3 linked regions of the Mus musculus genome follow. The protein of the gene in region 1 interacts with the protein of each later gene in a biochemical or structural test. Links are inferred from orthologs where the notes say so. Each region holds a gene or a part of one and is shown on either strand. Other genes may lie near its edges.

What was found.
Region 2: the proteins of Jun (region 1) and Batf3 form a complex in vitro, tested with the Homo sapiens proteins (2 studies listed by BioGRID and IntAct, with this or other methods). The link is inferred for Mus musculus from reciprocal best matches to the Homo sapiens genes JUN and BATF3.
Region 3: of the proteins of Jun (region 1) and Mapk9, one has a biochemical effect on the other in vitro, tested with the Homo sapiens proteins (17 studies listed by BioGRID and IntAct, with this or other methods). The link is inferred for Mus musculus from reciprocal best matches to the Homo sapiens genes JUN and MAPK9.

The regions. Positions count from the first base shown.
Region 1 is NC_000070.6:95,049,335-95,052,981, forward strand, and holds the start of Jun (transcription factor AP-1), read right to left. Parts: upstream 2,889-3,647; 5' UTR 1,938-2,888; coding exon 933-1,937; 3' UTR 1-932. UniProt on the Homo sapiens protein: Transcription factor that recognizes and binds to the AP-1 consensus motif 5'-TGA[GC]TCA-3'.
Region 2 is NC_000067.6:191,097,559-191,101,228, reverse strand, and holds the start of Batf3 (basic leucine zipper transcriptional factor ATF-like 3), read right to left. Parts: upstream 2,816-3,670; 5' UTR 2,771-2,815; coding exon 2,702-2,770; intron 502-2,701; coding exon 397-501; intron 1-396. UniProt on the Homo sapiens protein: AP-1 family transcription factor that controls the differentiation of CD8(+) thymic conventional dendritic cells in the immune system.
Region 3 is NC_000077.6:49,845,681-49,849,426, reverse strand, and holds the start of Mapk9 (mitogen-activated protein kinase 9), read right to left. Parts: upstream 2,677-3,746; 5' UTR 2,452-2,676; intron 1-2,451. UniProt on the Homo sapiens protein: Serine/threonine-protein kinase involved in various processes such as cell proliferation, differentiation, migration, transformation and programmed cell death.

The sequences.
Region 1 (3,647 bases):
AACACCACACCATCTTCTGGTGTACAGTCTGGACTTGTGTGTTGCCGGGGGAGAGAGTATGAGCCAATGATAGCATGCAGGGTATCTATTCCTACAATCAGACAGGGGACACAGCTTTCACCCTAGTATATTGGGCACTCAGCTGTCACTTCATCTAGCTATCATTATCTATGGATAATGCAGCAAAGAGGTTGGGGGCTACTTTTCAATAGTTTATTGTATTTTCTTAAATATCCTTTCTGGAAATTTTCAGAAACAAAACATAAAAAAATTATATACTTTATTACAAATGGTAAACTCAGAATGCTTCAAATCTCTTATTTACAAACACTGGGCAGGACACCCAAACAAACAAACATGGAATAACTTACAAAGGCAGGAAGCTGTTTATTGACAGTAATCAGCTTTCATCAAATTAAAAAAAAATATATATGTACATACACAGTTGAGAGAGGCAGGCCAGGGGAGTTCATCTGCAGTCTAGCCTGGCACTTACAAGCCTCCCCCCCCTTCCCAGCCCTCCCTGCTTTGTGTTAAGGAGCACTACAGAAGCAATCTACAGTCTCTATTGCAGTTTGTAACCCCTCCCACCCCCCTTTAATACTGAATGAGATCGAATGTTAGGTCCATGCAGTTCTTGGTCAATGTTAACGAAAAGTCCATCGTTCTGGTCGCGCGCGGGCACAGCCCGTCCGCAAAGTCTGCCGGCCAATAGGCCGCTGCTCTCTGGCTCCACGCCAAAGCCAGGCGCGCCACGTCCTTCCCACTCCAGCACACTGGGGGCGCCGTCAGGTCGCAACCCAGTCCATCTTGTGTACCCTTGGCTTCAGTACTCGGACACTTTTTTTTTCTCTGTCGCAACCAGTCAAGTTCTCAAGTTTGTCTCTGTTATTTTTTTTCTTCCATTGCCCCTCAGCCCTGACAGTCTGTTCTCAAAACGTTTGCAACTGCTGCGTTAGCATGAGTTGGCACCCACTGTTAACGTGGTTCATGACTTTCTGCTTAAGCTGTGCCACCTGTTCCCTGAGCATGTTGGCCGTGGATGCCAGCTCGGAGTTTTGCGCTTTCAAGGTTTTCACTTTTTCCTCTAGCCGAGCGATCCGCTCCAGCTTCCTTTTCCGGCACTTGGAGGCGGCAATGCGGTTCCTCATGCGCTTCCTCTCTGCCTTGATCCGCTCCTGAGACTCCATGTCGATAGGGGACAGGGGCGGCGTCTCTCCCGGCATCTCCGGCACGGTCTGCGGCTCTTCCTTCAGGGCTTGCAGCCGCGGGTGCTGCACCGGGATCTGTTGGGGCAAGTGGTGCGGCGGCTGAGGCGGCTGCTGCTGCTGCTGCGGCTGCGAGGGAAAGGCCAGCCCGGCCGCGCCATAGGAGGGCGCCCCACCGCCGCTGCTCAGCGCACCCGGGTTGAAGTTGCTGAGGTTGGCGTAGACCGGAGGCTCACTGTGCAGGCTGGCGCTGTAGCCACCACCGCCGCCAGCGCCTGCTACTGAGGCCACCGCGGGAGCCACCATGCCCGCCCCGCTGACCGGCTGTGCCGCGGAGGTGACACTGGGAAGCGTGTTCTGGCTATGCAGTTCAGCCAGGGCGCGCACGAAGCCCTCGGCGAAGCCCTCCTGCTCGTCGGTCACGTTCTTGGGGCACAAGAACTGGGTGGGGGTCGGTGTAGTGGTGATGTGCCCATTGCTGGACTGGATGATCAGGCGCTCCAGCTCCGGCGACGCCAGCTTGAGCAGCCCGACGTCGGGCGACGTGAGAAGGTCCGAGTTCTTGGCGCGGAGGTGCGGCTTCAGACTGCCCACCGGGTCGGCCAGGTTCAAGGTCATGCTCTGTTTTAGGATCTTAGGGTTACTGTAGCCGTAGGCACCGCTCTCGGACTGGAGGAACGAGGCGTTGAGGGCATCGTCGTAGAAGGTCGTTTCCATCTTTGCAGTCATAGAACGGTCCGTCACTTCACGCGGGGTTAGCCTGGGCTGTGCGCAGAAGTTTCGGGGCCGCAACAGCGCGCCGGGAAGCGGGGGGATACCCGCGCGTCCCCGCTTCTGTAACAAAGTTTGTTTAGGAGCGTGCGCTCCAGACGGCAGTGCTTCCCCCTGAGCCCTCCTCCCCAGTTCGCTCCAGGGAGCGCAGGGTTAAGACTCCGCTAGCACTCACGTTGGTAGGCTCCCGCGCGATGCCGAGCTTTGAAAAGTCGCGGTCACTCACGGAGCGCTCTCGGGGAGCAGCGGTTCCTTGGAGCCCGCAGACCAGTCCCAGCAACAGCGGCTCTCCGGCGGTGCTGACCAGTCGTCACGGAATTCTCGGTGGAAGCCCGCGATCGGGCTCTGCCGCCCGGCCTCCGACAACTGTCCCCTCCTCCGCTGTGAGGGGGAGGGGGACGCTAGGCAGCCGCGGCTAGCGCTCGCCCAACTTCAGCCGCCTGTGCGAACTGGTATGAGTATAGGTTCCTCTTCTCCCTTTTCTTTACAGTCTCGGTGGCAGCCTTAAGGCGCAGAAGAGATTTGCAAAAGTTCGCTCCCGGCCACTTGTTACCGGTCCTCTGGGTCAGGAAAGTTGCTGGCCGGTAGCCGCTCGCCTATTTCCTCGCGCGGTCGGGAGCCGCTCTCGATGCTGTCAGCAGCGCCCGGACTTGTGAGCTTCTTCTCCGTGGAAGGCGGGAGAAGGGACTCTCCAAATGCTCCCCAAAATACCGGTGCAGGAGCCGCGGGCGCTGGATCCAAGCAGTTGGTGAGAAAATGAAGACAAACGGATGAACAGTCCGGAGTCCGCGGCCGACCGGGTTGGCCAAGTCCGTCCGTCTGTCTGTCTGTCTGCCTGAGCGCTCTCCTGCCAGGCTGTCTCTGCCACACTCAGTGCAACTCTGAGTCCTTATCCAGCCTGAGCTCAACACTTATCTGCTACCAGTCAATCCCTAAAAATAGCCCATGATGTCACCCCGAGGCTTTCCCATTGGCTTGCGTCGTTCTCAGGGGGGCGGGCCCACCCGTCGCCATGGAGACCTCACCCTAGAAGATTCTTCTCTGGGCCCGCGAAGGCTCACGGGATGAGGTAATGCTCCGCTGCGCTCCTACAGTTGGGCCCTTCTTTCTCCTCCTCCCCCCCCCCCCTCCCGCGCTCAGCTTCGGCTTGTGTTCCCGGGTTCCCTCCCCGGCGCGTCTTTCCCGGCCCGCCCGGTGCATTGTGGGCTGACGTCTTGGTTTGGCTGTCTAGTGACGGAGGCTGCCGGTCGGCAGGACCCTTGCGGAGTCTGTCGGAGGCGGGCTCAAGTTCAGGGCTGGGGACTGGGACCGAGACGCGGGGATCCAGAAAGCAGGGGAGGCGCGCTAGTGGCCGGGGGCGGAGAGCTTGGGTGGGAGTGAAGGTTGCACACAGGCGCGCGCCCGCGCGCGGGCACACACACACACACACACACGCACGCACGCCCGAGAAAGGGCTGAATGATCTGAGTGACTGAAGCTGGCTCCGCACCCCCGCACTTCCGGGGGACAGAGCGATGCGGGTTAAAAGGGTTGTGTGCGCCCTGGGTGTGGGAGCACGTAAGTGCGTTGAAGTTGAGCGGGTTTGAGAGTAGCCCTCCAAGATGAGTATGCTTGGAAGTTTAGTTTCGGAGAAGGATCTGCGCCGCAGTGTGCTGTACCTGGAAACCA
Region 2 (3,670 bases), on another chromosome or scaffold:
CAAGCACTCCACTGAGCTGCTCCTCCAGAACTTTAATTACTATTACTGTTGTCACTATTGTTTCTATAGACAGTTTCTCTGTAGTTCCAACTAGCCTCAGGCTGGGTATTCTCCTGCCTCCACCTTCCTGAGTGCTATAGTGTGAGAGCCCCCACATCTAGCTTTTGTTTGAGTCTATAGTGAGAGAAAAATCAAGCGTGGGAAGAAGCCCGGGGGCTGGGGCTGAGAGGAAGAGGCCCGAGAATACAGAAGCAAAGCAATAGGCTGGGAGGACCCAGAAGAATCAGACTGGAAGGACTGATGATGAGCACCGTGATGCCATCACTGCCCCCTCCCCCGATAGGAGACAGCTGTCCCTGTGGCTGTCCTGTAGTCCTGACCTGACCACAGGCTCACCTCGTGGAGCTTGTCAGCCTTCTGGGTCTGCTTCTTCCGGCTCCTCTGAGCTGCAACCCGGTTTTTCTCTCTCCTTCGAACTTTCCTGTCATCGTCCTTGGGGCTCTGGGGATGACATGTGGTGAGGTAAGACTCTCAGACTCTCACCATGCTCCAGTGGGCTACTGAGAGGTTTTGTTAAGGAACACCTATCCTGTGGTGGGGCTTTGCTTTATATTAATCACCACCCACATACTGAAAAGCGTATAGAAAGACTGTTGTTTTAAAATGAGGAATATAAGGTCTGGGGTGCAGCTTAGTGGTGCCATATGTGTGGGATATGTCAGGCCCTGTGTTCCATACCCAGGACCACAAAAAATAAAAATACTATGAGACAACGAGGAATCAGAAACTCAGGTTAGGGAAGTTCTCCAGGTACCACGGCCAGCATGGGGGTGAGTGGGAAGTGGAACTCAGGTTTGCTGGTCCCCAAACCAACGTTCACAAACTTCTGCCCCACAGGGCGTTTGCCTGGAAGAGCGGTGCTGTTACTGCTCATCTGAGAGTGAGAAAGACTGGGGTGTGTGCTCGCTAGAACTTGCTGTGCACAGCCTTTAAACTACCACACACTGGCAAGTCCTTCTGAAACTGTATACAGACCATAGTTATGCATTTATTAGTAACTGCAACCACACAGCTCTACCAGTATGTGGAAAACTCTGGAACACTAATGACGACATGCTCTCTTGAACAACACTTGGCTGACATTTTCTTTTCAGAGGTCAGGGTTATTCCAAATGCAAATCTGTGATGCGTTTTGAGAGTTCTTAACCAAATATCCAAAAATCCTTCATGAGGTGACATGAAGTGGGCAGGCAGAAAAAAATGCACGTACCACAGCGAGAGCTTACTTAGAGGAAAGGGTCTGCTTTCCAGAACTGCAATTGACACCATCAGGGGAGGAAAAAAAATGTCCTTCAAGACTGAGTTCAAAAGGTGTCTAGATGGGGAGGGAGCTTAGTGGTAGGTGAGGCTCAGGGTGTAATCTGGAGCCACAGCAACAGCAAAACCCAGAGGCTGGCGTACAAACTCAGGGCTTCAGCCAGGAATCCCAGGCATAGATAAGAAGAGACAGCAGACCCAACACCTGCTCAGGAGAACACAGGTGTCAAAACGTGCCTTCCAGAAGTCCTCCCCCCACCCCCTTCTTCAACAGTTTCACGTAGTCTCCCTTCCCTTTCCTCCCTAGCTCTGGAATTGTACTCCTGCATCACTACACCCCAAAGGTCTTGATAAACACACCTGGAGCATCCAGGGGGACATGCCATATAAACGATGTAACTTCAGCTTTTACACCCTCACAAAGCCTTCCACCGTATATAATAACTAAGACCCTGCCCTGTACTCAGAACACTGCTGGGCTCTGCTGCCCAGAATCAAGCTGACCTGAGATTTGACCTCACTGGCTCTCCACTGGTGCTTGACAGGAAATAATGTCTCTATTCTCCAAAGCCAACAAGTCTCAGGGCAAGGGGCAGCATGCCTCCTGTCCTCTGGGAGCTGTCACATCACCTGCCACAGATGATCACACCTTCCCTCTGGGCAGGAATGACGAATGGAGACACAAATCACCCATCACTCACATGACCTCTGCAAACGTCCTCAGGAGATACAAAAAGAGTTCATCTTATAGATGGGGAAATTGAGGCTCCGCTAGTCGAAGCAAATAGTATAAGGCCACTCCAACTACTTGGCTCAGACTTCCAGGGTCATCCTGGGACATTACACTTCAAGCAGAGAGTTGGGAGTGTGTGTGGTGACTAAGAAAAATAAGACCTGATCTATTGATAAAGCAACCAGGTGGCCAAGAAGTGTTCCAACAGTGGCCTCTATTTGGTCTCAGCTTCTTGTGACTACAGCTTTGAAAGCTGGGACAACAGAGGGTGCTGATCATATTGGGGCGAGAAGTTTCCACCCGTGCTGGGGGTGGAGTCTGCCCATTAGAGACAAAACCCCACACCCACAAATTGACCGGTCCGACATTCCCCATGCGGATCTTGGCCAGTGGGTTGGATGCAGGGACGAACCGCCCCTTTGGGCTGAATTCATAATATCGGAGCTCCGGGCCCCCTCCCACCAGCGCCCACAGGAGTCAAGGATGAAACTGCCCACAGCAGCGCGGACCCACGTGTTCGGCGCCGAGTCTGGAGGGGCTGCCGCCTTCCCAAGCGCTTGAGGCGCACGGCGGGGGCGCACGGCGGGGGCGCACCTGGAGCTCTGCCCTCACCCTCACCCGGTCCTCACACCCGGCCCCCTTGTCCAATACCTGCGGCTGGTTCCCGGGCGCATCCACGCTTCTCTGCAGCACGCTGACCGCGGGGGGCCCTTGCGACATGCCGCGCGCTCGCCACACGGGGCGCCCTGAACGTGGGGCTCTGCTACCCGCGCTCCGCCCGCATCCCCGCACTTGCTGCCCCGCCCCGCCCCGCCGCTTCCCGCTCTCCGGGCTCCACGGTGCCCGCCTCCCCACCCCGTGTCCAGTCCCGGCCCGGCCCGGCCCCGCCCCCTACTCCCACCCCGCCCCTGCTTCCTCCTCCCCCCACCCTCTCGCCGCACCTCGGGGTCCAGGATCCCACCCAAGTCGCTGCTTTCCGCTAAGGGCCCCCGCTCTTCGTGGAAGTCACGTGGCAGCACCGAAGCCCACCCACGGAGAAGACCCCGAGTGGGTGGAGACGGGGTGCTGGCGCAGCGCCGCCGTGGACGGTCCTCCGGCCGCTCCTGGGAAGTTTGGGTGAGAAGCACCAGTGAGTGGCTCGGTGGCTTCAATGTCCCTTCGCAGCCTCCCTTAGCGCCCCAGCGCCGGTCACCGCCGATGGGGAGATTTCTTCCGGGCGAGGCGGCACCTGGACCGGTGGCGCCAGTGGGCAGGGACCGCAGCAGAGACCGTCCGCGCTATGGGGACAGCGGGAGCCTCAGGGCTTTTCCACTGCGGCGGCGTCTGGTCCAGTGGGAGGGAGGGGGCGAGGTGACTGGGAGGGCGAATTCTGATGGGGGGGGGCGGGGCGGGGGGAGCGGCAAAGAGAGGTTGTGAGTCGAAACCACGCTTGAAGTCCATCCTCACACATTCAAAGGTCTGGGCAGGCCATGCTAAGGTCCCATGGGCTAGCTGCATTTGCTTCTTCAAGATTAAGGTGATACCTACTAAAGGCTAAAATATATGGTTGCTATGTTTATGTCAGACTAGGTAGAGACGTATCTCATCCCTCTTCACCCGCCTGCCAGTTTTTAAAATATG
Region 3 (3,746 bases), on another chromosome or scaffold:
TTAACAAATTTGAAAGTCCCCATCATAAACAACTAACAGACTGCTATTGAAATCAATTCACACAGAGGTCAAGTATAAACCATTAATAATTATTTTTTAATAAAATTGCCACCTTCTTAGCCAGGTGTGAAAGATAACTTTGTATGTAGACAAATATAGCAGCCTACTGACAAGTTTATAGTTTTCTTTTAAGATCAGATTTTTGTTTTATCTTATAAGCTTTTAAAAATTAGTAACTCATTAATAATTACTTTGTTTGGCATTTTGATTTGTACAGAAGGTTAAGACTTATTTTTCCATTTGAAACTGACAAATCCAAGTATACCTTTGACCATTCATAAAGGACACAGCAAAGTATCCGTTAACAAGTAATTATAAAGTCCCGAGACCCTGCAAATTAAAACCTCAGGAAAACCAAAGCTCTCCAGAGATTATGCCCCAAAAACGACAATTATTTTTAACTATGCAGGACTCTTCTGAAAGGGAGGAGAGAAACATTTATAGATTGGCTATTGTTCTTCCAGAACAAATCGAAAACCAAACACAAATAGAGCTGAGAACCTTAGATTGAGGGCAATCTGGGTTCGAGTTCTCACTGGCTGCCTGCGCTGAAGCAAACTGCTGAAGCACTGAGCCTCCGTTTCTTCCTCTGTGGAACCCAGTGTGCCAGCCACACTCAAATGAGTGCCTGGCTGGTATCTGGGGAACAGGGCCTAGCTCCTCTGGCCTCAGGCTACAGTTCCTGCTCCTCCATGCTTCTCCCTCCCACACTGCCTGCTCAGGAGGTTAGCAGTGCTGCATGAGGTCCGCATTTTGGCTTGGCACCAAATAGCTAGTTTTAATTAGCTATTGCCAACACTGACATATCAGAGTCCAGATACAAACTTGGAATCCTGGCTTTTACAAAAATTGCTGAACCAAGTTCTGGAGCTCTGGGGTCTCCAGCACCCCATAAAGCCCCACACTTGCCCTGGAGGGCTGATTCTTGGCTCCAGACTGAGCAGAGTTCCTTGTTGATCTTGCCCTTTCACTTTCTGTCTGTCCCTGCTCAAGGCCCTCCAGCACCCCCACCCCACACCCTCCATTTCTAGGGCACAGACCCTTCACTATAGCTGGTGTCATATCCTGTCCTAGAACTGTGTGCATGCCAGTCTGCTCTATGGGGCTCCTGGACTCTCTGGGGGACGGTACCCTGTTGCTATCTCCTTTGTGTCCCCAGAGCCCAGCAGAAAGCATGACCTAGATAATACAGAATCCAGTAGATAACTCCTGAATGTGTGGAAGGAAGCCAGAGCAAAACTCTTACCAAAACGTATTTTTTTTATCACAAATTGTTCTGACAGCTACTAGAAAGAGATTAAAAACATGAAAATATTTCACAAAGTGAGAATCAGCGTCTGTTTGCTTACAAGTTTCACAAGTTAAAGTCACCAACAAAATGGACAAAGCAGAGATAATAATAGGCAGGGATGGTCTTACTGTTCATTCACTGATCTGACTTTACAGATGAAACAACTACCTGTACTCACCATGCTATACAAAAAGGACGGGGCAATAAATCAGATAGCATCAATCCAGAGTAGGTACTGGATGGAAAATTAAAGAAACTGATGAGCGAGAATGACTAAGCGAGGGAAAAGGGTGGTCAAGCTAGGTAGGCCTCGCCTATAACAAGACACTGAACCACAGGAGGAAGCGATGTGAGAGAAGACAGCTGGGTAAAAATCTTATAGACAACTCTGAACATAGAGAAATCGAAGTGCAAAGGTCCTGAGGTAAATAAATGATTTTGGCATGCCCAAGGCAGGTGAGCTTAGGATAGGAGAGCAGAGATCTGCTTCTGTTAAGAGGGGAAGGAGTGGCGGAGGAGGTGGGCAGGGCCCACTCTGGCTTTGCTGGGCACTGAAGATGAATGACAAGGCTCGGGAGGGGGGGCAGAAGTGGGGGAGGACTCTAAGCGGATGAGGGGGAGTTCCTACGACACTCACATCAGCAAGGGAGCATTTATTTACCCACTCAGATGCTCTCAAATGTGCGCCTTAGGCTTCTCTGCCCTAACGCTTTGAGACAGTTACACTGCCCGTTAACAACCCCGACCAAACCCTAGACATTCTACCATTACTCCCGAGGGGAAAGCAGAGGGCCAGTGAGGGTCGCAGTCACCGCCAAGGTCGCGGGGACCAGAGCTCAGGCTCCAGGGCATGCAGCGGGGTGCAGCGACGTGCCTCACAGCTGGAGGAAAGGCGCCCACAGATCCCTGCGGGCAGGTCTGCTGGGGCCCGGCCAGACAGCCGGCCTGCAGCCCTGGGGCTGCACACACCAGGCGGGAGAGAACGACCGCGGAACCGTGGATAGCCGGGCAGTACCGAGCAGTCCACCCCCTGAGCCCCGCACCCCAGGCCCTGCGTGGCCCGAGCAGCCCCGCCAGGCCTAGCCGCCCGCCCGGCTCACCTCGGCTCCGCGCCGCCGCGCCGGAGGCAGAGGGAGGGCACGCTGGCGGCGATGCGTTCTGGCGGCACCCAGCTCCACGACCTGGACCCGGTCGCCCCGCCCCGCTCTGCTCCGCCCCGTCGCCGTCGCAGTGGGTGTGAGGGGCGCGGGGCGCTGCGACCCTTCCGGTCCGGTTCCCTTCTGCTCCGCTGCTGCCACCGCCGCCGCCGCCGCCGCGGCGCTCAGTCTGACGGATTCTTAGGCCAGCCAATCAGAACTAGGATATCCAGACAGGCGGGACCAATTGAGACTGGGGGTGGGCAAGGCTGGGCAGTACGGGCGTGGCTGGAGGCTGGGTGTGGGCGGGGCCAGTGGCGCGCTCTGGATGCCCTAGTGCAGAGTGGCGCCCCCTAGGCGGCTCGCCGTCTGACCGTCTGCTTGCTGGAAGAGCGTCCGCCAGTGTGCACAGAGTTAGGGATCCAGGTCAAGCTAGGACCGTCTCCTGAGCCCGCCCTCCAGGGCCAGGAGACCCGCATGCGCCGGAGAGGGTGGGCCAAGGGGAGCCAGAGCCGGGGAGGGGCGAGGCGTGACTTTGCGACTACAGTGTAGGAGCCATTGTCAGGCCTCGGTTGTAGCAGGTGCAAATGGAGAGGCGACTTGGAAAAGGACTAAAGACAGCCGGGTTAGACAAGAGTTCTGGGCATGATCAAGGACTTGAAGCCTGGGAACCTGGAGTACAACGGCCCCGGAGGAAGAACCAGGACAAGCCGCGGGGCCTTGGGGTTTGTTTTTCACTAAGGCAGATGCCACACTGAATGGGATCATAACAGGGGTGCGGCCAGATGTCCAGAAGGTGGGGGTTGGGGAGACGGTGACCATGACCCTGATGAGTCAGTGACGGGTATAGCCTAAAGAGGCCTCTTATAAGAGACAAGTTTCTGCTTTGGTGTAGAGGGGTGAGGAGGGTGTCCGTCCAGTGCTGAAGGGCTTCTAGACAGTGGGTCTTTAACACTGCTGCTTTTGTTGACGCTTCTGCAGACCTCTGGCTCTCAAGTAGGTTCCAGAAGGTCTGAGGTGAATCAGATGTTTGGAAAACTCAGAATTTGGGATTCTGACTACTCTGTGTTTTGATAGAGAGGCTGCAAGTGAGACAGGGACGTTGAACACACTGAGGGAAGCTACGAACAGGTTAGGCTGAGGACTGGTCAATAAGGGATTGGAAAAATGGAGACAGTAGTTGACAAGTGGTGTCTATGGTGGTAGAGCTGTAGTCACAAGATGCCAAGGAGGAGCCAGGGAGAAGGACTCTGCGTATA